4 linked regions of the Saccharomyces cerevisiae S288C genome follow. The gene in region 2 interacts genetically with the main gene of each other region. Each region holds a gene or a part of one and is shown on either strand. Other genes may lie near its edges. The genes, in order: DUR3, PPT2, GLO4 and FMC1.

The links.
Region 1: mutations in PPT2 (region 2) and DUR3 together harm fitness more than expected from each alone (negative genetic interaction), as found in Saccharomyces cerevisiae (3 studies listed by BioGRID).
Region 3: mutations in PPT2 (region 2) and GLO4 together harm fitness more than expected from each alone (negative genetic interaction), as found in Saccharomyces cerevisiae (2 studies listed by BioGRID).
Region 4: mutations in PPT2 (region 2) and FMC1 together harm fitness more than expected from each alone (negative genetic interaction), as found in Saccharomyces cerevisiae (2 studies listed by BioGRID).

The regions. Positions count from the first base shown.
Region 1 is NC_001140.6:68,185-78,098, forward strand, and holds DUR3 (Dur3p), read right to left. Parts: upstream 6,061-9,914; coding exon 3,853-6,060; downstream 1-3,852. Other genes in the region: APM2 (Apm2p), read right to left, coding at 1-1,364; MCO14 (4a-hydroxytetrahydrobiopterin dehydratase), read left to right, coding at 1,524-1,886; YHL017W (uncharacterized protein), read left to right, coding at 2,092-3,690; YHL015W-A (uncharacterized protein), read left to right, coding at 6,515-6,598; 40S ribosomal protein uS10 RPS20, read left to right, coding at 7,228-7,593; YLF2 (Ylf2p), read right to left, coding at 7,913-9,130; deubiquitinase OTU2, read right to left, coding at 9,246-9,914. UniProt on the Saccharomyces cerevisiae protein: Required for active transport of urea.
Region 2 is NC_001148.4:271,794-277,232, reverse strand, and holds PPT2 (holo-[acyl-carrier-protein] synthase), read left to right. Parts: upstream 1-4,417; coding exon 4,418-4,939; downstream 4,940-5,439. Other genes in the region: NOP53 (Nop53p), read left to right, coding at 1-1,071; ATP-binding cassette long-chain fatty acid transporter PXA1, read right to left, coding at 1,366-3,978; ATG5 (Atg5p), read right to left, coding at 5,039-5,439. UniProt on the Saccharomyces cerevisiae protein: Transfers the 4'-phosphopantetheine moiety from coenzyme A to a Ser of mitochondrial acyl-carrier-protein.
Region 3 is NC_001147.6:405,379-408,421, reverse strand, and holds GLO4 (hydroxyacylglutathione hydrolase GLO4), read right to left. Parts: upstream 1,359-3,043; coding exon 501-1,358; downstream 1-500. Other genes in the region: casein kinase 2 regulatory subunit CKB2, read right to left, coding at 1,878-2,654; HIR2 (Hir2p), read left to right, coding at 3,034-3,043. UniProt on the Saccharomyces cerevisiae protein: Thiolesterase that catalyzes the hydrolysis of S-D-lactoylglutathione to form glutathione and D-lactic acid.
Region 4 is NC_001141.2:174,618-182,162, forward strand, and holds FMC1 (Fmc1p), read right to left. Parts: upstream 5,623-7,545; coding exon 5,155-5,622; downstream 1-5,154. Other genes in the region: YIL102C (uncharacterized protein), read right to left, coding at 1-270; XBP1 (Xbp1p), read right to left, coding at 690-2,633; SGA1 (glucan 1,4-alpha-glucosidase), read left to right, coding at 3,387-5,036; glucose-induced degradation complex subunit FYV10, read left to right, coding at 5,810-7,360; BMT5 (25S rRNA (uracil2634-N3)-methyltransferase), read right to left, coding at 7,500-7,545. UniProt on the Saccharomyces cerevisiae protein: Needed for the assembly of the mitochondrial F1-F0 complex at high temperature.

The sequences.
Region 1 (9,914 bases), on a different chromosome or scaffold from region 2:
ATGTTTGCCTTGAATCTAATTTGCTTGCTGAGGTCTATTTTATATTCCTGGAAGACTTTTGTCAGGGGAATTCTCACGTTTAGCTTCGACGTTGAGTTGGTGGGTTTAAAATTTGTTTGAATTTTGGTTACAATTTGGATTTTAAACTTCTTCAGTTTAGGTTTGATTTCAAAATCTTTCAACCTCACCATCGGCGCATCCTTTACATGTCTCTTCAACTCGTATTGGCAAAGAACAAATTCGCCATCCGGCGGTATAAATTCGATTTCTCTTGCATCTGTGGCGGCCTGCAAACCAGCATCATCGTCACTATTCTTTTCTTCATCTTTTTCAATAGTGTTTATGGAATCTAGTGAAACACACTGATGAAAGCTGGAATTCGACATGAACTGGGGGTCCCTGTTCAGTATCTTGTTTATGGATATTTTCAGTTTGGGCATCCCTGATAAATAGCATCTGCACACAATCTCTCCATGTATCAGATTTTTCCTAATCACTCCTTTTTCAAAATCCATCAAGTACTGAACACGTTCAATAACATCAAGAAAGAACTCGTTTTTGGCGTAATGTATCCCCTTTGTTCTCCATGATATGGGCATTATAATCGTCTTCGCAATATCGCCATTGATGTATAAATCATTACCGTCATTGGGGAGCTCGTCATTAGCGGCTTCTTTACCGGTATCATTCTTGTTCCTTAGTGTCTCCTTGACAGTTTCCACCACGTTTATGCCCCTATTTTCTTTATTGTTTACCATTATACTTTTTAATTTACTTTTGCCCACGCTTTTCCCTTTAGTGCCCTTTTTCTTCTTCCTTTTCTTCTTCTTATCCTTCCTCTTATTAGTATTGCTGTACTCGCTATCGCTATCGCTACCGCTACTACTACTGCTCTCTTCACCAGGGCTCCACTCCTCATTGTCTACTGTAACTCTTGGTACGTTGACCTTCACACGAATGTAGTCCTTGATGATACTTGGATCCGTCACTTGTACGATACCAAAGTCTATACATTCATCAATCAACTCCAGGACAAGTAAGATGTTGTCCAGTATGACATTCTTAGTTAAGACCTCGATTTCAAAATATTTTTGTAAAAGATGATAAAATTGTTCCAAAAAGGCTAGTATAGTCATTAAGTCTATATTTGGTTTGTCTGTGGTATGTATCACTGAAACGAAATGCAGAAAGTCTCTCTTCAAATGTATAAAGAACCAATCGTTTTGGGAGAGAATTGGAGGCGACCCGTCATGATAACATTGTTTGAAACTTGAAAGAACCGACGATAGATTCGGTAGTGCTCTAATATTCTTCGATACCAATGGCTCCAGATTTTCATCCAGGATAAAAAGGCTTGACGACATGCCTTTCCTTCCTGATTTCCTCTTTACTATTTTTGGGTCCCTTTATTTGCTTTTTGTCCAAGGCATTCTCAATTTTCCAATCTGGAATTTAAGCCCTTCCAGTTATAAAACAGTAAACACAACCTACCAAAAGCAGAAAGAAACCAAAGTAAGAATACAATGCACAACAAGATTGTTAGAATCGCGTCCAGTGCACTCACAGGGGGCAAACTACTCGAGAAGCTAAAACCCTTGACCCGTTGGGAAGTTCAATGGGACCCTAATAAGACCAAATGTTTGGGAATAACAAGAGAGGTAACATTCAAGGACTACGAAACCACATGGGCCTTTTTGACTCGTGTATCGATGAGATCTCATCTATGGGGCCACCATCCCCTGATTCACACAAGTTACACCTGGGTCAAGCTGGAACTTCATACGCATGACATAGACCCGAAAGACGGGGCTCACAGCCAGCTTAGCGATATAGACGTCCGGATGGCCAAGAGAATAGATTCCTACATCGATGAGATGACAACTTGATAAGGCAGGGCAGGTCTAAAAGGCTATTGCTCTTTCCATTTTTTTTTTCCTATCGATTTTACTACTAGAAATTTTTGCTACCCATACCCATTCTCGCATTGCAACATGGAAAAACTGAAAATTGAAAAAAAAGGTATTGAAATTTCAACTGTATTGTGTAAATCATTTTTGGGCAAACTAGACACAATAACTAGCGAACAGAAAAATGGATAGAACGTGGCTATTACTGACGTGGCTGTTGCTACTCTGTGGGGTAGTTCAAGGGAACCAAGAAAGCATAAATCAAAAATATCACGATGTCTGTTCAGGGATGTATTCCAAGGAGGATTTCAATGGAAAAGTTGACCCCTATATATCGTTTACGTTGGAGGAATTGTCACTTGCTGATGAAGACGATGATGGCGAGGGGGTTAGTGTTGCTGTGTTTGATTTCCAAGATTATGAGCATATTGGTGTGCGGTTACCAAATGGAGAAATTCAGTATATTTGCGATGACTACGCATTGGATTTGGGCCTCTGTGAGGATTCGTCGGAGGGGCAATTTATCATTCAAGAGACAGCCATCGATCCGTTCACCAGTAAGGAACATAAGCTAACGAGTCAGATTTTGACTTTCACTCAACAAGAATTGGGCACTAACGACAAGGTATACTCAATTAACAAAACTGGTTACTATTGTGTGACCACGTCATCTTTCATTTCTTCCAGTTCCAAGTTTAAGGCTACAGTGAATTTTAGGAACGCTTACGGTCAATTGGACGCTTCAGAGGCGTACAAGATGCCTATTTATGCCTTTTTGGCCGTCGCTTATGCCGTCTGTACATTAGTGTACTCTTGGCTATGCTGGAAGCATAGACATGAGTTACTGCCTTTACAAAGGTACATTTTGGTATTTTGTATTTTCCTAACAGCTGATACTATTTTCGTCTGGATGTACTATATTATTGAGAACCAGAAGGGAAACTCCAGCGTCGCTCTTCATGTCTATATGGTTTTCATATCGATCTTTAGCGCCGGTAAGATGACTTTCACGCTTCTCCTCGCCTTGCTGATATCTCTTGGATATGGTATAGTATATCCAAAACTGGACCGTACATTGCTAAGAAGATGTCAAATATTTGCGATATTTACGTTTGCAGTGTGCGTTGCATTCCTGGTCCAAAAATATTCCCAGAATTCTGAGTCTTTATCCAATTTGATTTTGATTACTGCTATCCCCTTAGTATTATGTCTATTCGCTTTCTATTATTTGACACTGTCTTCAATGAACAAAACAATGACTTATTTGAGGGAACAAAACCAAGTGGTGAAATTAAACATGTACAGAAAACTGATCATATTGTGTTATATTTCGTTGTTTATACTCTTCTTAGGCTTACTAGTCTCTACTTTTGCATACGTCGGTATGGACACTGTTGACATGATAGAACAATATTGGAAAACAGAATTCCTCATCACAGATACTTGGCCTAGTTTCGTTTACTTCTTGGTCTTCGTCATTTTCGCATTCTTCTGGAGACCTACAAGTACATCATATTTACTAGCGTGCTCGCATCAATTACCAACTGACATGGAAAATGTATCAGAATTCGATTTAGATGACATAAATTCCTTGTCTGATGAGGCATTGCCTAATAGAGAGCCACGTAATGACTACCAGGAACACGATCACAATATGGATATTGATTTAGCATCCGATTTTGAAGAAGTGCCAAGTGTAAATGCAAATACGAACGCAAATAATGACGTATTGTTCGACGTAGATTACGACAGAGATGCAAAAAATGATAGAAGTACTACATAAACGGACCAAATAACATAAATTTAGAAATTTCCTTTTTTTTTTTTTTTTCCCCTTGACTTTCTTTTCTTTTATGTACCTATAATGAAAGACTATTTTATAATTAGAGCTATTTAAAAATTATTAATGAGGTTGATGAGTGGATAGAATATTATATTTTGAAAGCTAAATTATTTCATCAACTTGTCCGAAATGTGATGATTGTCTATGTGCTCTCGCACTAATTTGGCTTGTTACTACATGCAGATCTTGTGGGTTCGAATTTTGCCATTCCCTTAATTTATAAGTTTGACCAGATAGATCCCAGTAAAGGCCTCGCAAAGTGGTATATATACCATGCCTACCTTCCCAGAGTGGATAAATACAAACGGCAAACGCACTGAAAAAAAGCCAGATGATCATCACAACAACCCAACCGGTAAAGAATTTTTTACTGAAGATATATTTGGAACCATACATGGGCATGGGCCAAACTACCAAAAATGCCAAAGCGAAAAAAACACATAGGAAGTATGCAATTTTTAAACCACGTGCTAGTTCTCTTTGTTCTTCGTCTAATTCATTTTGTAACTGTGTGTCATCTTCTTGAAAAATGGCATTACTTATTACAACACCAAGGTTAGGCTCAATCAATTTTTCATTATTTACTCTAACATCGTTTTTTTCACTATCTGAGACCAGAGAATTTGTTTCTTCTTCTTGTTCCTTATCGTTAGCTTCAGCATCGTAAAGCTGGATATCAGGGTCAGCCTGAACTAACTCTGCAGTTTCGTCAACTCTAGTAATATCTTTCATTTTCTCCCAGTCAAAATTTTGTGGCTTAAACACATACGTTAAAATAGGAATAAAAATGGCTGGTGATAGCAAAGCCACCAAGTTACCTGTTAACATTGGATAATCCATGAACGTAGTATCCACGGTCAATTCTTTATAAAGGGATTTGGTACAGACAAGCCATGACATTATAGCCAGTCCTGTGCCCAAAATAGGCGACACTACAGCGGCCACCAAATTCATGTCTTTGGAACATAAGGTCAAAACGACAGGTAATACTGCACTACTAATAATTATACCCATCATTTCATAGATATAACCCATAGAAATACCACCATAGTATAAACCAACCGAAAATCCACTCATGGCAAGACCAAAAAAGATACAAGCAACGTGTGATGTGTAAATCAATTTCTTACCGCTTGCACGAGGATCAATATATTCTCTATAGATATCGTAAGTGAAAACAGATGAAACGGCAATTAGTTCAGCAGACATAGCAGATGTGACGGCCATGAAAATCATTAGCAGCGATGCCACAGCACCCCCCTTACCCATGATAGCAATTGCAGCTGCCGGCAAGACTAACCCAGAATTTGCCTGGAACGAAGTAAGTGGATCAGGATAGGTGGGGAAGTTCGGAGACGTTTCCACCGCAAGACATGCTAATCCCATGGTCAATGAAATCAAAGAAGGTACTGCAAACCATGCTAACCCACCGATGGCATATGCTTTCAAACTCGCTGCGGGACTAGCAGAAATCGCTTTATTCCAATAACCATTATCAAGGAAAACGGTGCCGAAATTTCCAATCAGGTTAATAATTAATAAAATACCAGCGGATTTGGATGTCATGGTCATATATTCACCCTGATAGTTACCGTCTACTGGATGCCTCTTGGCGGCTTCACGAACTAAGTCATAAACTTTTCCCGGTGAGCCTAAAACATCACTAGTCGCATAAACTTTAAAGGCAAATACGAGGACAATGATGATAATGACACATGTGTGCATATAGTCCGTTAAGAAAGTTGCTTTAATCCCACCAAATAGAGTATAAACAACAACACCCACAGGCAGTAAAAAACATGATGCGATAGTGTTCATCCCGGTTAAATCACTAAAGACAGCAGAACCTGAAGTTAAAAGCATTGAAGTGACTAAAATATTCGTCGCGATGGCATAAAACAAGTAGCAACCATGGCCGATCTTACCATATCTTGTTCTCACTAATTCTAAATATGTGTGCGCATTGGGAGCCATTTGCTTGGTTTTAATTGCCAAAATTGCGAATGCAATAATTTGGAAGCATGCGCCAGCAGCGTACGCATAACCGCCAAATATACCGTCTGCATATTCCTTTGTTGACGACGTTAACAATGTAGAACACCAGATCCAACTAGAAACCACGGCTGCAGCCACTAAGCCGGTTTTTACAGATCTACCGGCGGTGGTGAATTCTTCTGCTGTGATGATTTCCTTTTGATAACGTTTCAGTAAATAAGTGGTCAAAACCATCATTCCTGCAAATACGGCCCCTAGGCCCAATACAATAGCGTACCCAGCGCCTTGAGGTAGCGGAGGTTTAAATTCTCCCATACTATAACAATGACAAATTTATGTTATTACTTTTTCTTGGATGAACCCAATTTAAGAATCTAGACAAGGGAAACTGCTAACAATAGTAAAGCTACGGCTATACTACTGCTTCATTTTATATACTTGGCGAACAAGACGTATCTTCATGCAACACCGATGAATAGAGCACATCTTGCCTGTTATCTAAGGATAACCGTACCGTAGAAAGCGCAATGATGAGTTACACCTTTCCCATAGGTACGCCTGCTTGTTTCTATGCTGCAACTGACTATTGGCCTGTCCACTCTCGAGCATTATTGTCTGTCGCATTTGCTATCATAAAATATCCCGATAAGATAACACCCAAATGTGCGCCGCCTCATTTCATCATCGGAAAAAAGGTGCGGCACCAATAGATAAACAGAATTGGAATGCCTAGTTTGAGTCAGCCTTGCTGCATAAAACAAATACCTGTATGACTGCTTTTGCATCTTTAAGAGAACCTTTGGTCTTGGCTAATCTCAAAATTAAAGTTCATATCTACCGTATGAAGCGCTGATAAAGAGCGCCAAATCTGCACCTTGTGCATTTTGTTCACACATTCTTGGCGCTCCTAACTGGAGAAACGTCTATCATTGAGGATAACTCCGGATAGTCGCATTCTGATTGAATAGCCGTCTAGCTCCCTATTGTGACTAGAATACTATTGACATCGTTTTCTCATCAAAACCTCCCGATAAAGGGAAAAAAAGAATTATCTGACCAGATCATTCGGAAAAATGCGTATCGTCATTGATATCCTTCTTGTCTTGTCTGCTGCTAACACTATTTACTATGGAAAGAGAGATTTCCCTGAAACTTCTTATTTTTATCTCTATAGAAGGGGAAAAGATAAAAGTAAAAATGTAAAAATGTTTACCTGCAAGTTCACACCTGTACATTTTCTACATCCGTAAACATAAGAGAAAAAATGCCACAACTATTTTTATGAAGATAAAGTTCGGGTAACGATAATGTTTTAATTTTGAAAAAAAAACTTCGACGCATTCGCGACTAGCCTCAGAGATTGAGTAATAGACCGTATTGAATTCAAAATAATAGTAAAGATGGGTTATTTCATTCAAGCTCAGCTTTAGATTGAAACTCCTACAAGAAAGCAAGTAAAATAAACAAAAAGGTATATACAAAATGTCTGACTTTCAAAAGGAAAAGGTTGAAGAACAAGAACAACAACAACAACAAATCATCAAGATTAGAATCACTTTGACCTCCACCAAGGTTAAGCAATTGGAAAACGTCTCTTCCAACATTGTCAAGAACGCTGAACAACACAACTTGGTCAAGAAGGGTCCAGTCAGACTACCAACCAAGGTTTTGAAGATCTCCACCAGAAAGACTCCAAATGGTGAAGGTTCTAAGACTTGGGAAACCTACGAAATGAGAATCCACAAGAGATACATCGACTTGGAAGCTCCTGTTCAAATCGTTAAGAGAATCACTCAAATCACCATTGAACCTGGTGTGGATGTCGAAGTTGTTGTTGCTTCCAACTAAGCTGGTTCTAACTGGAAATAATTTCCATTAGATTCCTCTTTTTCTCGTCCATTAACCAAAATATATTATTGAATTCAGCGGTTCCTTTTTTCTCATTTTCGCATATAGCTGCACTATTAGAATCAGCCCACTCTAGGTAAACACAGTTCCTCGATATACCTCTGTCTTACTATCAGTGGTTAAACCTTATGCAAATATAATATATATATATATATATATATATATATCTCATACTTTTGTTGATTCTTGTGTAATTATTGGAAAAGACAAAACAAAGCAAGCGTTTCTATTCATATTTACAAGTATTTTTTATGACAAACTATTTCTTAATTTTCCCACCGGCGGCTTTGAATAAGGCAATGTCATTGTCCTGCATAATATATTGTTTGCCTGCACGTTTGATAAGTCCCTTAGATTTTAGTAAAGACTCATTTAGCGGTGGTTCCATCTTCTTCAGATCGTCATATTTTATTACATCAGCGCTGATAAATGTTTCACGCAAGTCGCTATGGATTACACCCGCGGCCTCTTGAGCGGTGGTTCCCTCCCTTATATTCCATTGGTGAACTTCTTGTGGGCCGCATGTAAAGAAGCTAATTAAGTTCAACAACTTTCTCATTTCTAGTATTATTTGCGGTATCGCAGAAACTAACTGTTGATCAGAAACATTGGTATCTTCCTTGATCTTGTCAAAATACTCTGACGCTATGCCTTTACATTCCATCAATTGCGATTCAAATTCTGCACTGAAAAGTAGGAATTTATCTCCTGGCGAAAATTCGTTAATCCATTCTATAATATTTCTGACAAATTTATTTTCATTCCTAACGTAATCTTGAGGTGAAACATTTAGCAATATCAAAGTTGGTTTGGAGGTTAAAAAGTTATGCTTATTCAAAATTTTGACTTCATCCAGGTTCCAATGATCTTTGAAATGCCGGATTTTTTTACCGTTAAACAAATGTTCCTCTAATGCATCTAATAATTCTGTCTCTATCTTCATTTCCTGATGTTCTTTAGAATTCTTCGAAACCATTCTCATCTTCTTACTAAGTCTTTCCCTAATGTTTTCCAGAAATTCTAAGTCTTTCAAGATGAGTTCATCTTGTACCACGGATAGATCTCTGACAGGATCAACATTACCTTCTATATGGGTGATGTCTTCCTTTAAGAATCCTCTCACCACTTGAAATATCCCCTCTACGTGTCTGATATCGTTTAAGAACTTGTTACCCAAACCATGGCCTTGAGATGCGCCTCTGGTGAGCCCAGCAATATCATATATTGTGAGTGTTCCAGGTACGCATTTCGCACTCTGATATATTCTCAATAAATTAGAGAGCGGCACGCTAGGTATATTGACTTTGGCACATTCTGCGTCAATGGTAGCGAATGGATAATTTGCAGGATTTCCCAATTTTGAGTTTGTTATTGCTTGGAAAAAAGTCGATTTACCAACATTAGCAAGCCCTACTATCCCTGAAGTTGGATTATTCGATATCCTCCCAAGTAAAAATTTTCCTCCACCAATGTTCATATCCGATTATTACTTCTCTTTATTCTTTTATATCCATATGCTTCAAACTATACAATTAAATAGATGCATTAAGGTTTACAAATAAGCATATCTCATTAGATACGGATGGGAAAAATCAAGAATCATGCAATGAATTATAATGCTCACCTAATGCATAGCTGTGTTTATAGTAAACTAGCTTCAATTCAGGATTTTTCCCACATTCATTGTACACTTGAATAGGTCTTCCACTCATCAGAATGCTAATGGGGCAGTCGAAAACGTGAGAGAGAGCCAAAATCTCAATTTCACCACCCCATTGAGCTGTATGCTCCATCTCTTTCGTATACTCATCAATGTCTTTCATCTTCATAGTTTCTTCATCAAACAAATATGGAATGAAATCATCCCTGTGCTCCTGTACGTAATTACAACTCAACCATCTCAGCTTCATGACATCCATGTCTTGATCCAGTTTTTTTGGATCATGGCGTAATTTTAACTGATCTAATATAGATGCAAAGAGACAGTGGCCATCGGGTTGTATATCGAATTGTTTCAGTTTCTTCAACTCGCATAACTGATCTATAGACTCCTGCTCCATTTTTTTCAAGTCCGGTTGTTTGGATGCTTCTAAAGCAGCCTCTTCTTTCATTTTAGCAATTGCTGCATCTCTTTTGGCCAATCTTTCCTTTTGTCTATTGCGACGCTTCTTTGTCTGGCCTTGTTGCTGTTGTTGAACGGGAACATTCTGTTGTTCTTTCTCATCTCGAGATATGGATAGTTGTTCTAAAAGTTTTTCAGG
Region 2 (5,439 bases):
ATTGCAGCACTAAATCACCATAAGAATAGTAGTGGAAATCCTAATAAGATTCAAGGTGTTTCTAAACACGAATTAAAGAAATTAATGGCTTTGGCTGGCAGAGTACACGGCGAATCGAAGATCAAGAATAGAGTTGCCAAAGACGGTCTAGTTAAAACAACGGCTGGCGACTTATGGGGTGAAGAATCCAATTCAAAGAAACAGAAGGTCAAATTACCTTCCGGTATCAAACTTGATGTGGAAAAAAAGGACCAGATACCTGAAGAACTATTGAAAAAATCCACGACAAGTTGGTCTACTGCTTCAGTCAGACCAAGTACTTTAGATATAGAGCCAATTGCAGTAAAAGAATTCACAGAAATTCCACATGCTGGTAAATCCTACAATCCCAACAATAAAGCTTGGTCAGAATTGATAAACAAAGAGTATAAAGAGGAAAAGGCAAGAGAAGATGAAAGAATCGCCTTGGAAAAGTACAAAGAAAGAATTAGACATTTAATGGAAACTTTAGATGACAATGAAGAGGAAGAGTCTTCATCAAACGAAGAAGAAGAAGAAGAAGAAGAAGAAAATGAAAATGAAAATGAAAGTACGCAATGTAGTGGATCTGATAAGGAAATAAAACTATCAATAAATAAGCCTGTGAAGAATAAAAAGAAAACAAAATATCAAAGAAACAAGGCAAAGAGACATGAAGAGAAAGTAAAATTGCAACAAGAGTTGAAAGAATTGAGACAACGTGTTAAAGATTTAGAAGAAGTTATCAATTCTGAAGAGACTGAGATACTTTCAGCCATAGAGTCAGATAGCAACAAGGTTAAAAAAAGCAAGAAAAATAAGAAACACAAGTTAGGGACGAAATACTCTGTGATTGATGAAAGATTGGAGATTAAATTTTCTGACGAATTATCTGACTCATTGAGAAAACTGAAACCTGAAGGAAATCTGCTATATGATACTGTGAGAAAACTACAAAGTTCTGGTAAGGTCGAAACAAGAGTGCCCGTTAGGAAAGGTAGAAAGTATAAGCAGAAAATCACTGAAAAGTGGACACATAAGGACTTCAAATAGAGTTTTTTGTTTTACAGTATATGTTTCCATGAAAAGGTTGTCCTTGATACGTGGATTCATCAAGTGAGATATATATATATATGTTCATATTTGTGTTGGCAAGACCAACAACTGTATAGTAGGTAACAAATTGTTTCATTTTCTTTTCGTTCTCTGCCCTTTTCTAGTTTGAGAGGGCATTCCCATGTCGATATCTCTAGATATCAGTTAAACATTCAAAAGTACAAATTCAGTTACGGAAATAATATATAAATTATATTCGCTAAATAAAATCTCTCCCTTTCTAGGGTGTTTTCAAATAATTTCAAGCTTTTCCCGTAGCTTCGTCCTCTCATCTTCCCAACCTTTTACTCTTTCTAGTTTTCTCTCCAATTCCTCAATCTCGTTGTCAATCGACGTGATTGCTTCATCGGTACCAACTGCCTGTAATTGCCATTTGCCATCTCGATTTTCACCGATCTCTAGTAACATTTCATGATATTTGATTAATGTGGGTCTTTGTGATATGGAAATGAAATTGAATCTGTATCGTTTTAAAAGATTGAACAGATAGTCTTCCATGTCAACACTAATTGCGTTTGTAGCCTCATCTAATACTACGTATAGTGGTTTATGAAACATGATTCTAGCAAAATTTACTCTTTGCTTTTCACCACCACTTAATAAGTCCTTCCAATCGGCAATGGCATCTAGGTAAGTTAAGCCAACGCCTCTTTTTAAAAGATAATCTAGTTTCACTTCGACTAATATCTGTACTAGCTCCTTATCTCTAAACCCCCTATCAAAGAATTCATCCGAGGACATGGGGTATATAATTTGGTCTCTTAAAGTTCCACCTCTACTAAAATATGGTTTCTGAGGAATAAAAAAAATATTATTTTCTGAAGGAATCGACAATAATCCATTTTTGTTATACACTGGCCATATTTCAGCTATAATGCGTTGAATTGAACTTTTACCGCAACCATTTGGCCCTAATATTAACAGGCTGGAGCCAGAACCCTGCAAAAATGGTAACTTTATATCATTTGCCTTCGATAAGTCTTGTATAGAATTGGACTTTGAAGTTATTGGGTCAATATGCAAAGGAATTTGAAATGTAAGCTTGTTAATCAGCTTTATGCCTTCGCTCGCCCTTACTGATGGAATGATTACGTCTATATTTTCTAACCGAATACCGTTAAAATTGCGTTGAATAGTACCACGAATAGCATCTTGCGAATTATCCGTGGTGGGTAATAAGTTGGAATTTCTGGAAGCGTCTTCTGTACGTATTGACAGGATTGAAGGAACAGCGCCGTAATTAAAGTTCAGAGAGTGAACCCTGTGTAAGACGGAAAGCAGAGTAAATATCCTATTAGTGTAGCCGGTCAATTGTGAGATGTCCTTTATCGAATGCATCAATCTCGAGCCTGCATCTGCAAGCGACAACATCAACCTTTTGTTGACTATAAATTCCTTCATATTTTTTTCCTCTGAATTGATGCCTGTCGCTAAGGTAGACATAACGATAGGGATTGAGGCAAAAACATAACCCAAACCGGACCATGTATATTTTAAAACATAGTCTTCCAACATATTGTAACCAAACTTGACTTTATCAACCAGCAGCATTTTTTCCATCAGCACATCATACAACTCTTTAACTTTCGTCCTTTCCACTGCTGTTCCTTGGTAAAATGCGATCTCTTCGCTATTATTTATCATGTTTAGATGATAATTGTAGTAATCGCCGTCTGAAGCAGATCTCTCGCCTGCCAATTTACCTAATGGTGGCGTGTATTTCCTCAAAATAAACCCAGTAATGAAATAATTAACAAATATACCTGCTACTCCCACAGTTCCCAAATTATCACGTAAATAAACCGAAAAGAATATTAAATCAATAACTGGCTTTGCAATGTTTGCAAAAACGGAGCATGTCGCATCGCAAAATTTTGCAACATCATTAGTAATGGAGTTGTCGATATTCTTGATTACCGAATTGGACGCCTTTGCATCAAAAATTAATTTGTAAAATGTTAGTCTTTTATCCAAATACATGTCATGGATGTAACGTGTCAAATTTACCCTAAAGTTTAAACTCAACTTCCTTTGAAGTAGCTTAATAGCACTATTAGTATAAGAAGCAGGGACAGCAATTAAAAACCAACACCCTAAGTCCCACAGAAAGCTTCTTCCTCTACCAGCAATTATATTTTTGACTATTTGTCCATCCAGCTTGGCTACAAACAAAGAGAGCCAAGTTCTCATCACCAGGAAAAAAATTTGAGCAGTTAAAAGAAGAAAGTTTTTGTCAAAAACTGTTGGAATTAAAATTTTAGACAAGACGTTCATTTGGTTTAAAAATTTTGAGTAGAATAACTGCGAATTCTTGGCTCTTTCCAGTTCTACATTTTTAAAAAGAAACTTATCGTGTTCATATACATCGTTATCCTTTGGTGGAATAAATATCCTTTTCCTTTTTTTTTTATCTGTAGCATTCATAAATTTGTTGTCATCGGGACTCTGGCGGTCGACTAATTCCACTTCAGGAATATACATTATTCTTGCACCACTGTCTAATTGCATTTGAGATCTTGTTCTTCTTATTAAAGGTCTCCTATTCCTTCTCTTCCATGGAAACTTGTAAAATTTATAACATTTTAGAATAATTTTGAAAGTACTATATGTTACACCAGAAAAAAGTGTGACACCAGATAGGAAAAGCGATACCAATAAAATCTGGGCCCTTCTTCTTAGCTTAGGATGAGCAGCGTTTGATCTAGATATCTGTAGAAGATGCCGTATCAATAACTTGAAATATACTTTAGGTGTGACATCGTTAACGTGTAGCCCAATACAGTGAGTATGTAGATTCAGGAGCAAACTCTTTAGTTTCGCTGGTGCTGCTAATGTTGTTGACATTTCTGTGTTATGCGTTCTAAGACTTCCAGATTGTCTGAAACGGGTTTCATTGTTAGTCTCACTTCTTAGAGAAGCATTCTTATATATCTTGACTCTAAAAGGGCTGAAAATAACCGCCGAAATTAAAAATTGGGGTAAAAAAGGGTAACGAAACTTATGCGGTTAAGCCCGATCAACATATAGCTGAATATTGCGTCAAGAATAATTTCTTAATCGGGATTATTTCCGAAGGAAGAAATTCTATTGAAAAAAAAATCTTAACATCAAAACTGCTTATATACATTCCACAGGTTCAAGCGGTCATAAGAGATCTGACTTTTGATAGAAAAGCTAGTTCTTTAAGAAGGCTGAATAGAAGCTAAGCACTATTTTCTTATCAGGAGTATTGCTTTCTAATGAACGTTTATTTCATAAGTGCTAGCTTTGAATGCCTCCAGTGATGAGTTTTGCATCGAGGAATATTGGACGTAAGATAGCAGGAGTGGGAGTTGACATTGTATACTTGCCAAGATTTGCACATATACTAGAGAAATATTCCCCATTCGACCCATGTGGCCGTTCTACCTTGAATAAAATAACACGGAAGTTCATGCATGAAAAGGAAAGATTTCATTTCAGTAATCTTCTCATCGAAGAAAACTGCTTAACTCCACGATTGCATGAATATATAGCGGGAGTTTGGGCTTTGAAGGAATGCTCATTGAAAGCGTTGTGTTGCTGTGTTTCAAAGCATGATCTACCTCCTGCCCAAGTACTGTACGCTGGAATGCTATATAAAACACAAACCGATACAGGTGTACCTCAGTTAGAGTTTGATAAGATGTTTGGAAAAAAGTATCCAAAGTATCAACAGCTCTCGAAAAACTACGATTCTCTCTTTTCCACTCATGAGTTTTTAGTTTCGCTATCCCATGATAAAGATTATTTAATTGCAGTAACAAACTTGGTAGAAAGAGAGTAAAAGTTTTCTTGCAGCCGTATAAATGTGGCCCTATTTTCAACGTCCAAGTTATTTTCTGCGATATTTGAATGACACTTTTAAATGCGTATATAACAGCTCTTAGAGCTCAGAGGAAGCTTTATCGCCGCCTTTTATAGGAACAAGAGTTATGTACAAAAAGCCATCAAAACTTCGCAATTTAGAATACAAATCATACAGGAGCATATGCCAAGGAATTTCAATTCCTTGACAAATAACCATGACATCATTACCATTGATTCCTTCCTTTACGTCCAGAATATCGCCTTCAATATCCTTCAACGTAGGATTGACTCCAGTCATACTGATAGTTGGTTGTGATATTCGAAAAGTTCCTGATGTCCTTGAGGTTTGAATGATGAGCGGTATATGTCGCGGTCTTGATGAACTTATCTTGTTAGATATTTCAATGAAATCTTGGAAATTTCTCGTAATAACACTGCCCCAAAATTTTCGAGCTTCGTTGACCGATAAAGACATAA
Region 3 (3,043 bases), on a different chromosome or scaffold from region 2:
TTTGATTTGGCAATATCGTTTTGCTGGGGGTGGCTACTTAACTAGTCTCAAGCTGTTTATTTGATCGACTTCACAGCTCAACGCTATCTTCCCTCCAAGCCCTTACTTGCTAAGATTAATTTTAATAGGAAAAGAGAGAGACTCAACGTCTGTGATGACAATAAATCGCTGTTCAATTTTTTGAACACTATATAAAGAGAGGGCCATTCATTTTTCTCACACTTTCAATCTTAAGTTTCTTCCCATTTTCCTCCTTCTCTTTCTTCTTCTTTCTTTCCTAAAACCTCGGGAATATAATACTAAATACTCTGTTATATAGAACTTTCTACGCCTTTTCCTCTATGGCTATGAAAGCGTGGACAACGGAGACAAATAGACCAATTACTGAATATGGCTTTTGACATATCTTCTTCTTCATGGGTGAGGATTAAGCTGATATCCTGACCCACCTATCATTAGTCCTTCAGACATACTTTGCAAATATTTAGACTGCATGCCAGTTACATAGCGTTTTTAAGCTTTCTTAACTCTTGCATCACTACGGATCTGGGATAAGTCCCAGCAGTATCGCCGACTGCTAGTCTAACGGCACGATCATCCAATCTCATGAATGGGTTATAACCTAGTTCATCTCTCAGGGTGAAGTGACCGGTGGTGCACTCGTTAGATTTGCAATACTGTTCCAACGCATCAAACTCCTTGTTCTGCCCTATATCGGAATAGATTTTTGCTCTGATAAAGCTAACATTGCCTTTGGTGTACTCATGACCAGGGTATATTTTAACCTTATTCCAGTTCGTCTCACCAACAGCCCTTAACATTATCTGGTTTAAGGCCATGTCCATATCTCTTCCTGTGCCCTCGAAAAACCTCCCACAACCGGCAATGAATAAAGTGTCGCCTGTGAAGATGCACTGCTCACCTGTTTCTAAATCTTTGATATAATAGCATATGGAATCTTTTGTATGGCATGGAGTCCTAATACATGTTACTCTTAAGTTACCCAAGTGATACTGCTGCAAATTATCGGGTACTTCAGTGACACCCGGGGAGGACTTAGATCCACCAATTATTTTAATATCGTGACCTGAGTTTTCTTGGCACAAGATACTATAAAGCGCTAGGTTCCCCCCCGAATGGTCATAATGGTGATGTGTATTGACAATAGCATCAATACTTTTTTTCTCTTCGGCGCTTAATTTTGGCGACACCTCAAGTGGTTCTGCAGGGTCAATCAGCCATGAGTTTCTCCTGTCTTCAGTGCTTAGTAAATAACTATAATTGACACCACCTGTCAACCATCGCATTTTTATAGGCTTAACATGCATATTTCTTATTTGCTGCAGTAAAAACTTCATGCCGAAAGAAATTTGCTGCACCAAAGAATGAGTAAATCTCCTCTTTTCAGTACTTCCAGATTAGTCTTCAAACAGCTTTTGAGTTTTTAAAATATAAACCGCCTCTTAGTTCATAGGCAGTCTCCACGCGATGCCGCCACTTCTCCAATTTCTTGATAAATAAGGATGCTTCCTACATTCAAAGATTTCAAGCTATTCACTAAAATAACACCAATAATTCGTGGGTAACCACATTTGCAAATTGTTGATATATAACAGGCTAACTTCGGAGCACGCTCTTTTATCTGGTTGTATTATTGCCGTAAGGGGCAATAACGGTATATAAAAATTTAATATTAAATAGGAAAAGTAAAATACGAATGGAGGTAGAAAATAGTAATATTCTAGGAAAGAAAATGCTAGGAGAACAAATGATACCTGATTTTCACAATTTTATGACGAAGTTTCTCCATTATTTTCATTTTCGTTTTCAATTTCGCCTAGGATTTCATTTCGAATTTTTTCTTCTTTCTTTAATAGTTAGGTTTTAAAACCACCACTTTTCGTCAAATCAACATCTTTGGATTCAAGTTTCTCAACTAACTTGAGTCGTTGTAGTTCTTGCCACCTTGTCAGTTGAGCTTGTTTATGTAATTCAAATCCAAATATTTTTGGAACATATCTTTTAGTTGGGTGTTTGGGTACCATATCTGGAAATGCTTGCAAAAACATACCTGGAAAACTTGTTCCAAAGTATGCACCATCAATGGAACTATGTCTCGATGATTTTGGTATATAAAGATCCTCACAAGATGGACAATATAACTTGACACAATCTATACCAGGAATGTCATGCAAACCAACCGGTAACAACTGTTGTAAATTACAATACACACGGGGACATCTTCCAAAGTCCGCCTCTTTGTACTTAGCGTACATTTTTTGCAATCCTTTGATAGTTATAATGTAGCGTGCATGGATGAGACCATACAGCTTCCGGGAATCTGATTCTAATTGTTCTAAACGGGCATGTGTCATATTCTCTAGGATACTATCATCCAAATCATCCACAATATATTGTACCACGTAGGAAAATTTTGAAACTGTCTTTTGCAAGTTCATCAGATTAAAACGATCAGTGATGTACTCAGGATCGACATCACAGAAATATTCATGGCCTTTTCTCCCAAGAAATAAATCGATCCACATATCCACGTATTCCGATGAGTCAGAGTCATCATCCATGAGGACATCATCTTGTTCCACTCTGGAGCCTTCTCTAGTCACTGTTCCCACATTCTCCGATCTACTGCCCATGATCTGCTTTTCTATCAGTTCTCTAAGTCCCTTAATCTTGAATAATTTGAAAAAAGCTAGTATTTCTCAAGTAAAAGATTGATGAAAAAATACAGCAGGAAAATTCCACGTATCTGGAATGACCAACTTCTTTAAGAATGTGATTTACTTATTCTATTTGGTGCTTGTTTTCATTTGATAAAGGATTGCCAATACACCTCCATTTATTCGCTTTCATATTTTTTCTTCCTGGAAGGTCGACAAAAAAAAGCGCGAAAAAAATATCAGTTAATTCGGCTAGAATTATGAAGTCTTCATAAAACAATATACAAAAAGTGCTAAATCGTCCATACAGAGGAATACGCCACGCAGCAAAGGAGTTCCTACACAATCCGGAACAATGAGATTAT
Region 4 (7,545 bases), on a different chromosome or scaffold from region 2:
GGTCGCCACTAACTCTTCCGTGTGGCCGTCTATTGCTGATGCATTCAAACCATAGTCACCTGCGATAGGGTTAGTTGTGTAAGAGGTAAAACAGTGACCAGGTGTTAATTCTTCCCAGTTCATCAACAAGCTTGCTGAACCATTGCTCATTATAGTTGTTATACTGCAGGAATATTTCATCTCGATATCTACTTCTTCCAGAAAAGAATTTTTTAAACAATAATAGACCTCGAATCGCTTCAATTTTTTGAACTTTTCCACCTTTAGCATCTAACTTGGTTCTTTAATTACGATAATTCAGGATATGCGCAAGCCACCTACAGATTATAGAAGCAGTCGAGTACGAATCACTGTGACCGTCATCCTAGATAAATAGTATAGCTTGATGAAGAGTACTGAACCAACAAGTACGAGCTTCTATGGCCAAGTTGGTAAGGCGCCACACTAGTAATGTGGAGATCATCGGTTCAAATCCGATTGGAAGCAATTTTTTTCTTCGGCACGTCATACACCTTGTAATGAGTGTACTAATTCTCTCTTCAAAAAGATCATTGTATGTTTTATGTTTTGTCTGGAAAAACATATAGTACGGATATTTTTGAAAAACTTTGAAATAATATGTAAATTATGTAAAAAAATTAAAGAACCATTATAAAAGAATATTACCAAAAATGTAACAGATGACATTTTTATTGTTTTGAGTTTGTTTTAAATTTGAAATTGTTCAGTGAATTGTTCGCCCTTGGCGAAAAAGAGGTGTCCATATTGGTATTTGTATTATGAGCTGGTCGTTGGTTTTGTTGCTTATAAACTTCGCTAGCATATTTCAAAAAATGATAGTGATCATCACCATAAGGTTGAGGGAAAGTGGGAGGAGCAGGCGCGATTGGTGAAGAGGGGACGTTGTAGTGTCTTGGAGACTGGTACTGAGAAGGAACTGGGTGAATGTGGTCGTAAGTATAGTTTAGCTGCCGCTGTGGCGACGAGAGCTGGTTTGGTGGGGGTAAAGAGTATCTTTGCTGTGGTATATAGATATTTCCCGGATATGAATACCGGTGACCGTGGGTGTTGTAGAAGGATGCTAGGTTTGACAAAATTTGCACCGTTGGATCTCTTGGCCCTATTGGAGAAGAAGTTTGAGAGGTGTATGTGGACGACTTTTGCCTTTTGCTGTTTTTTTTAATGAAGTTCTTGTCATTTGAGGAAAGGCCCAAGTTTTCTACAAATGAGTCGAATGAGGGCAAGGCGTCCTCAATAACAAGTTTCTGCGCTTTGGAATGGGACATGGAAGTAGATCTTTGTCTTGGCCTGGGTCTGGGCTTCTGCCTAGGTCTTGCCACTGCAGTAGACGTAAAATTGGTACTTGTATTAGCAGCAGCAGTAGCAGCAGTAGCAGCACCTGCACCAGTGGTAGAACTAGCAAATGTAACGTTTTGATGAGCCAAATACCACGATTCGCAATCTTTGGGGAAATCTGGACCAAAAATAGGCACCAGAAAGTATCTGATCGGAAAACAAAACCGCAGGCATAGCAACCTTGAGATTTCCATCGGCAACCAAGTACCCTGAATTTTGATGTAACCACCTCTTATTCTTTTCGTAAAATTTGCCGGATTTAAGTTGGGCAAGTCTATTTGGTCAGGACCAAGTTCATTGATCAGGAAGTCTTTGTAAGACTGGCAAATAAGGTCCCGCAGTTCGGGCTTGATGTTGTTCCAATGAAAATCGATGTAATTGTTTGCCTGCGTTGAAGAAGTAGATGAAGAAGACGCATTGGCGTCCAAGAAGGTAGACCCTGTGGATGTCCGTCTCTTTGGCGGCGAAGAGGTGGAGGACGACAACAGTACGCTTGAAGATTCCTCAGAAGTGAACGAACTGTGATTGTAAAAGCAAAAAGATAGAATTTTCTCGAATTCAGCCTTGCAAAAGAACTGCTGTTGGCTAGTGGAAACGCTGTCACCTCTGGGCAAGTTTATAAGCCCCTTCATAACATCCTGATACAGCCGCCAGATGCCCGTCATGAACACATAGCCGGAGTCATGCGACCATATTACGCAGTTGTTAGGGTTGATGAGCTTGTCATTGATCAGATTATGGTCCATTTTGGTCAACTTGAACTGCTGATTCTTTGTCAGCGAGGAGGTGGCATTTTCACGCGATGCTGTTGACAGAGCCTTCTTTTCTTGCTTGGTGGGTGATGCTGAGACTGGTGTTTTGTTAGACCGGGAAGGTAGTATGATCTTACCCATCAGAATATTTTTATCGTGCAGATGCAAGGCGGAGTGAGGAGTGGCGGAGCTAGCGAGCTGCGATAGCAACGTTTGTTCGTGGACTAGGCTCTGAATTGTTTGTAGGTTGGGAAACTGGTACTCGAAGCAGTTCAGAACGTTCTGCGCCGCCGCCTCTTCCCCGTTCCCTGCGTCCCGAGCACTGATAATGAAGTTTGGATGTGTGAACTGCGCAGCAATGGAGGATTTATAGTTAACCTTTCTAATATTGAGTCCGGCGCTGAAACTGGCCGGCGGCGAGTCCCTATCCAGTACGCTGACGAGGTAGAGACGCTGATAGTCGTCCAGGGGGTTGTCCGTTAAGTGTACCGTGTCACTGTTAATGCTAAAAGCGGGATATTTCATGTTGGAGAAGGTGTCTATGATAAGGTATTTTGAGCTTGCCGTTGTGTGGGGAGAAGAACTGGATGCGTACCGAGAACGAGCAAGTTAAAACACTAGTACACGAATAATAGATATATATATGTATGTATATATATGTTGAAGTGTGTACACACGTACACGCACAAGCTACAGACGCCACGCGGCCCGGCATTCATATATGTACATACATTTATGCACATATATATATATATATATATGTATATGTAAATGTATATATACAGCTTGTGATTTCGCGCGCCGAATGGGCTGAAAAGCACAGTATAGTGGAGAAGAAGAGAGAGGAGAAGGGGAGAGGGGCAATAGCAATGGATGTGGTAGAATACAGGGAAGGCCAAGCTGTTGTTCAATGGATGCGGTTCGAGGCCCAGCGCAAGGGGGGCGCTTCGAAGCATAGAACATTATCCGCGGAAACGGGTATTAGGGGTGAGGGTGAATAAGGAAAGTCAGGGAAATCGGGCCAGAGTAACACCCATTCATAGCACTCGTACAAGGTGCTTTTAACTTGCCTGCATGTGTGGAGTCACAAATTAGGGGACTCAGGCACAGAAGCAAGGGTCCTTTTTTGGTTCCCTGTTTCCTCCTGCGCATTTCGTATTTTTTCTCATCTCTTGGCTCTGGATCCGTTATCTGTTCTGTTACACAAGAAATCGTACATTTACAATATAGTGATAATCGTGGACTAGAGCAAGATTTCAAATAAGTAACAGCAGCAAAATGGCAAGACAAAAGATGTTTTATAACAAATTACTCGGCATGCTCAGCGTAGGATTCGGGTTTGCTTGGGCGCTCGAGAACATTACTATATACGAATTTGACTTTGGCAAGGGCATTCTCGATCAAAGCTACGGCGGTGTATTTTCAAACAACGGCCCTTCGCAAGTGCAGCTGCGGGATGCAGTCTTGATGAATGGGACAGTGGTATACGATTCAAACGGCGCTTGGGACAGTAGTGCGCTGGAGGAATGGCTCCAGGGACAGAAAAAAGTTTCCATCGAAAAAATATTTGAAAATATTGGGCCCAGCGCCGTGTATCCGTCTATTTCGCCTGGGGTCGTGATTGCGTCACCATCGCAAACGCATCCAGACTACTTCTACCAATGGATAAGGGACAGCGCGTTGACGATAAACAGTATTGTCTCTCATTCTGCGGGCCCGGCAATAGAGACGTTATTGCAGTACCTGAACGTTTCATTCCACTTGCAAAGAAGCAACAACACATTGGGCGCTGGCATTGGTTACACTAACGATACAGTGGCTTTGGGAGACCCTAAGTGGAACGTCGACAACACGGCTTTCACGGAAGATTGGGGTCGTCCTCAAAACGATGGGCCTGCTCTTCGAAGCATTGCCATCTTAAAAATCATCGACTACATCAAGCAATCTGGCACTGATCTGGGGGCCAAGTACCCATTCCAGTCCACCGCAGATATCTTTGATGATATTGTACGTTGGGACCTGAGGTTCATTATTGACCACTGGAATTCTTCCGGATTTGATCTATGGGAGGAAGTCAATGGCATGCATTTCTTTACTTTACTGGTACAACTGTCTGCAGTGGACAAGTCGCTGTCGTATTTTAACGCCTCAGAACGGTCGTCTCCCTTTGTTGAAGAATTGCGTCAGACACGCCGGGACATCTCCAAGTTTTTAGTGGACCCTGCGAATGGGTTTATCAACGGCAAGTACAATTATATTGTTGGGACACCCATGATTGCCGACACATTGAGATCCGGACTGGACATATCCACTTTATTAGCTGCGAACACCGTCCACGATGCGCCATCTGCTTCCCATCTTCCGTTCGATATCAATGACCCTGCCGTCCTGAACACGTTGCACCATTTGATGTTGCACATGCGTTCGATATACCCCATCAACGATAGCTCCAAAAATGCAACGGGTATTGCCCTGGGCCGGTATCCTGAGGACGTATATGATGGATATGGCTTTGGCGAGGGAAATCCCTGGGTCCTGGCCACGTGTACCGCTTCAACAACGCTTTATCAGCTCATTTACAGACACATCTCTGAGCAGCATGACTTGGTTGTCCCAATGAACAACGATTGTTCGAACGCATTTTGGAGCGAGCTGGTATTCTCCAACCTCACGACTTTGGGAAATGACGAAGGCTATTTGATTTTGGAGTTCAATACACCTGCCTTCAATCAAACCATACAAAAAATCTTCCAACTAGCTGATTCATTCTTGGTCAAGCTGAAAGCTCACGTGGGAACAGACGGGGAACTAAGTGAACAATTTAACAAATACACAGGGTTTATGCAGGGTGCCCAACACCTTACCTGGTCCTATACTTCATTCTGGGATGCCTATCAAATAAGACAAGAAGTTTTACAGAGTTTGTAGACAAAAAAAAAAATAAAAGGAAAGCGAGAAGTATACACAAGTGTATTTCCTAGATATTTACATCAAATATATATATATACTTATTTACAAAACTCTGATATTATAAATTGATTAGATACTATGTCGGAACGTCCAGCCCAACCACGTTTGCAGTTCTTTTCACTTTCTCATCCTGTGTCAACTTGTTGCCAGGATTGTATCTGTCGACCAGCTCCTCGTATTCTCTTTGGTTGTCCAAGAACTTGATGATGTCCAAAGCGTGTTCGAATATCTCGTCAACGTTTTGTCCCTGGGCCACCTTTTTCTCCCACTTTATATCGTTTTGTAATATGGAACGTAATGACTTAGAGTCGGCTATAAACAAATTCAAAGATCTGTCGCTTACCGGATCTAGTTTTTTCCATTTCTCTAACTGTCTGTTGATGTTCTCATGCGAGTCTCTCTGATTTTGTTTCTTAGCATATTCCAACTTTGTTATCATTGCCTTTCGTAGATTGCCCCAATTGACTATCTTGCTTGGCCTTTCATATTTCAGAATGGCTCTTATGAGTCCTCTATATGTGCGTAATGTTCTTGGTCTATCCATTTCCCTGGCACTCTCTCTTTCTCTCTCTTTTCAGCTTTTTGTTATCCACTTATCGCTGCAAATGAAACTCTAGTGCAATTTGAGATATTCACTTTTTGCAAAGGCGAAGAGAAGGGGGTGGTTAAATCTACAATTTCATACATAAAACAGAGAAAATGATTATAAATTATAGGAAAGTAGGTAAGCCATGGCAGAGAAATCAATATTTAATGAGCCTGATGTGGATTTCCATTTGAAATTAAATCAACAATTATTTCATATTCCTTATGAACTACTGTCCAAACGTATCAAGCATACTCAAGCGGTAATTAATAAGGAAACCAAATCACTACATGAACACACGGCCGCATTAAATCAAATATTTGAACATAATGACGTTGAGCACGACGAGTTGGCACTAGCAAAAATAACTGAAATGATTAGGAAAGTTGACCATATAGAAAGATTTTTAAATACGCAAATCAAGTCCTACTGTCAGATTTTGAACAGAATTAAAAAAAGGCTGGAGTTTTTCCACGAACTGAAGGACATCAAGTCACAAAATTCAGGAACATCGCACAATGGAAATAATGAGGGTACCAGGACTAAATTGATACAGTGGTATCAGAGTTATACAAACATTTTAATTGGTGATTATCTGACGAGGAATAACCCGATTAAATACAACTCGGAGACAAAGGATCATTGGAACTCTGGCGTAGTGTTTTTGAAACAGAGCCAACTGGATGATCTCATTGATTATGATGTCCTCTTGGAGGCTAATAGAATTTCGACTTCGTTACTACATGAGCGTAATCTCTTACCCCTAATTTCATGGATAAACGAGAACAAAAAGACACTGACCAAAAAGTCCTCTATATTAGAGTTTCAAGCAAGATTGCAAGAATATATTGAACTACTAAAGGTGGATAACTATACCGACGCTATAGTATGTTTTCAAAGATTCCTTTTACCATTCGTTAAGAGCAACTTCACCGATTTAAAATTAGCATCTGGACTTCTGATTTTTATCAAATACTGTAATGATCAAAAGCCAACTTCTTCTACCAGCTCTGGATTCGATACTGAAGAGATTAAGTCTCAAAGTTTACCAATGAAGAAAGATCGAATATTTCAACATTTTTTTCACAAATCTTTACCTAGAATTACCTCCAAACCTGCGGTGAATACAACAGACTATGACAAGAGTTCCTTAATAAATTTACAAAGTGGAGATTTCGAAAGATATCTGAATTTATTAGATGATCAAAGATGGTCGGTATTAAATGATTTATTCTTGAGCGACTTTTATTCCATGTATGGCATATCACAAAATGACCCTTTATTGATATACCTGTCACTAGGTATATCGTCTTTGAAGACAAGAGATTGCCTGCACCCTTCTGACGATGAAAATGGAAATCAAGAGACGGAAACTGCCACAACAGCAGAGAAAGAAGTTGAAGATTTACAACTCTTTACGCTACATTCACTAAAAAGGAAAAATTGTCCCGTTTGCAGTGAGACTTTCAAACCAATAACACAGGCATTACCATTTGCTCATCACATTCAGTCTCAATTATTTGAAAATCCAATACTATTACCAAATGGAAATGTTTACGACAGTAAAAAATTGAAGAAATTGGCCAAAACATTGAAAAAGCAAAACTTAATTTCTTTAAATCCAGGTCAAATTATGGATCCAGTTGACATGAAAATATTTTGCGAATCAGATTCTATCAAAATGTACCCAACCTGAAATAGTTTCAAGCTATATGCATTTTTTTATATAAAGATTTGTCCAACTTTCACAACTATTTTACAGATACTTACGCTATATAAGAATTAGGGAAAATGAAAGTTCTTTCATCAACATGGCGACATTCTTCCTTCTGTACTTAGTCTGAATCAGAATCTGTGTCTTTTTTGCTTTTACGGTTATGT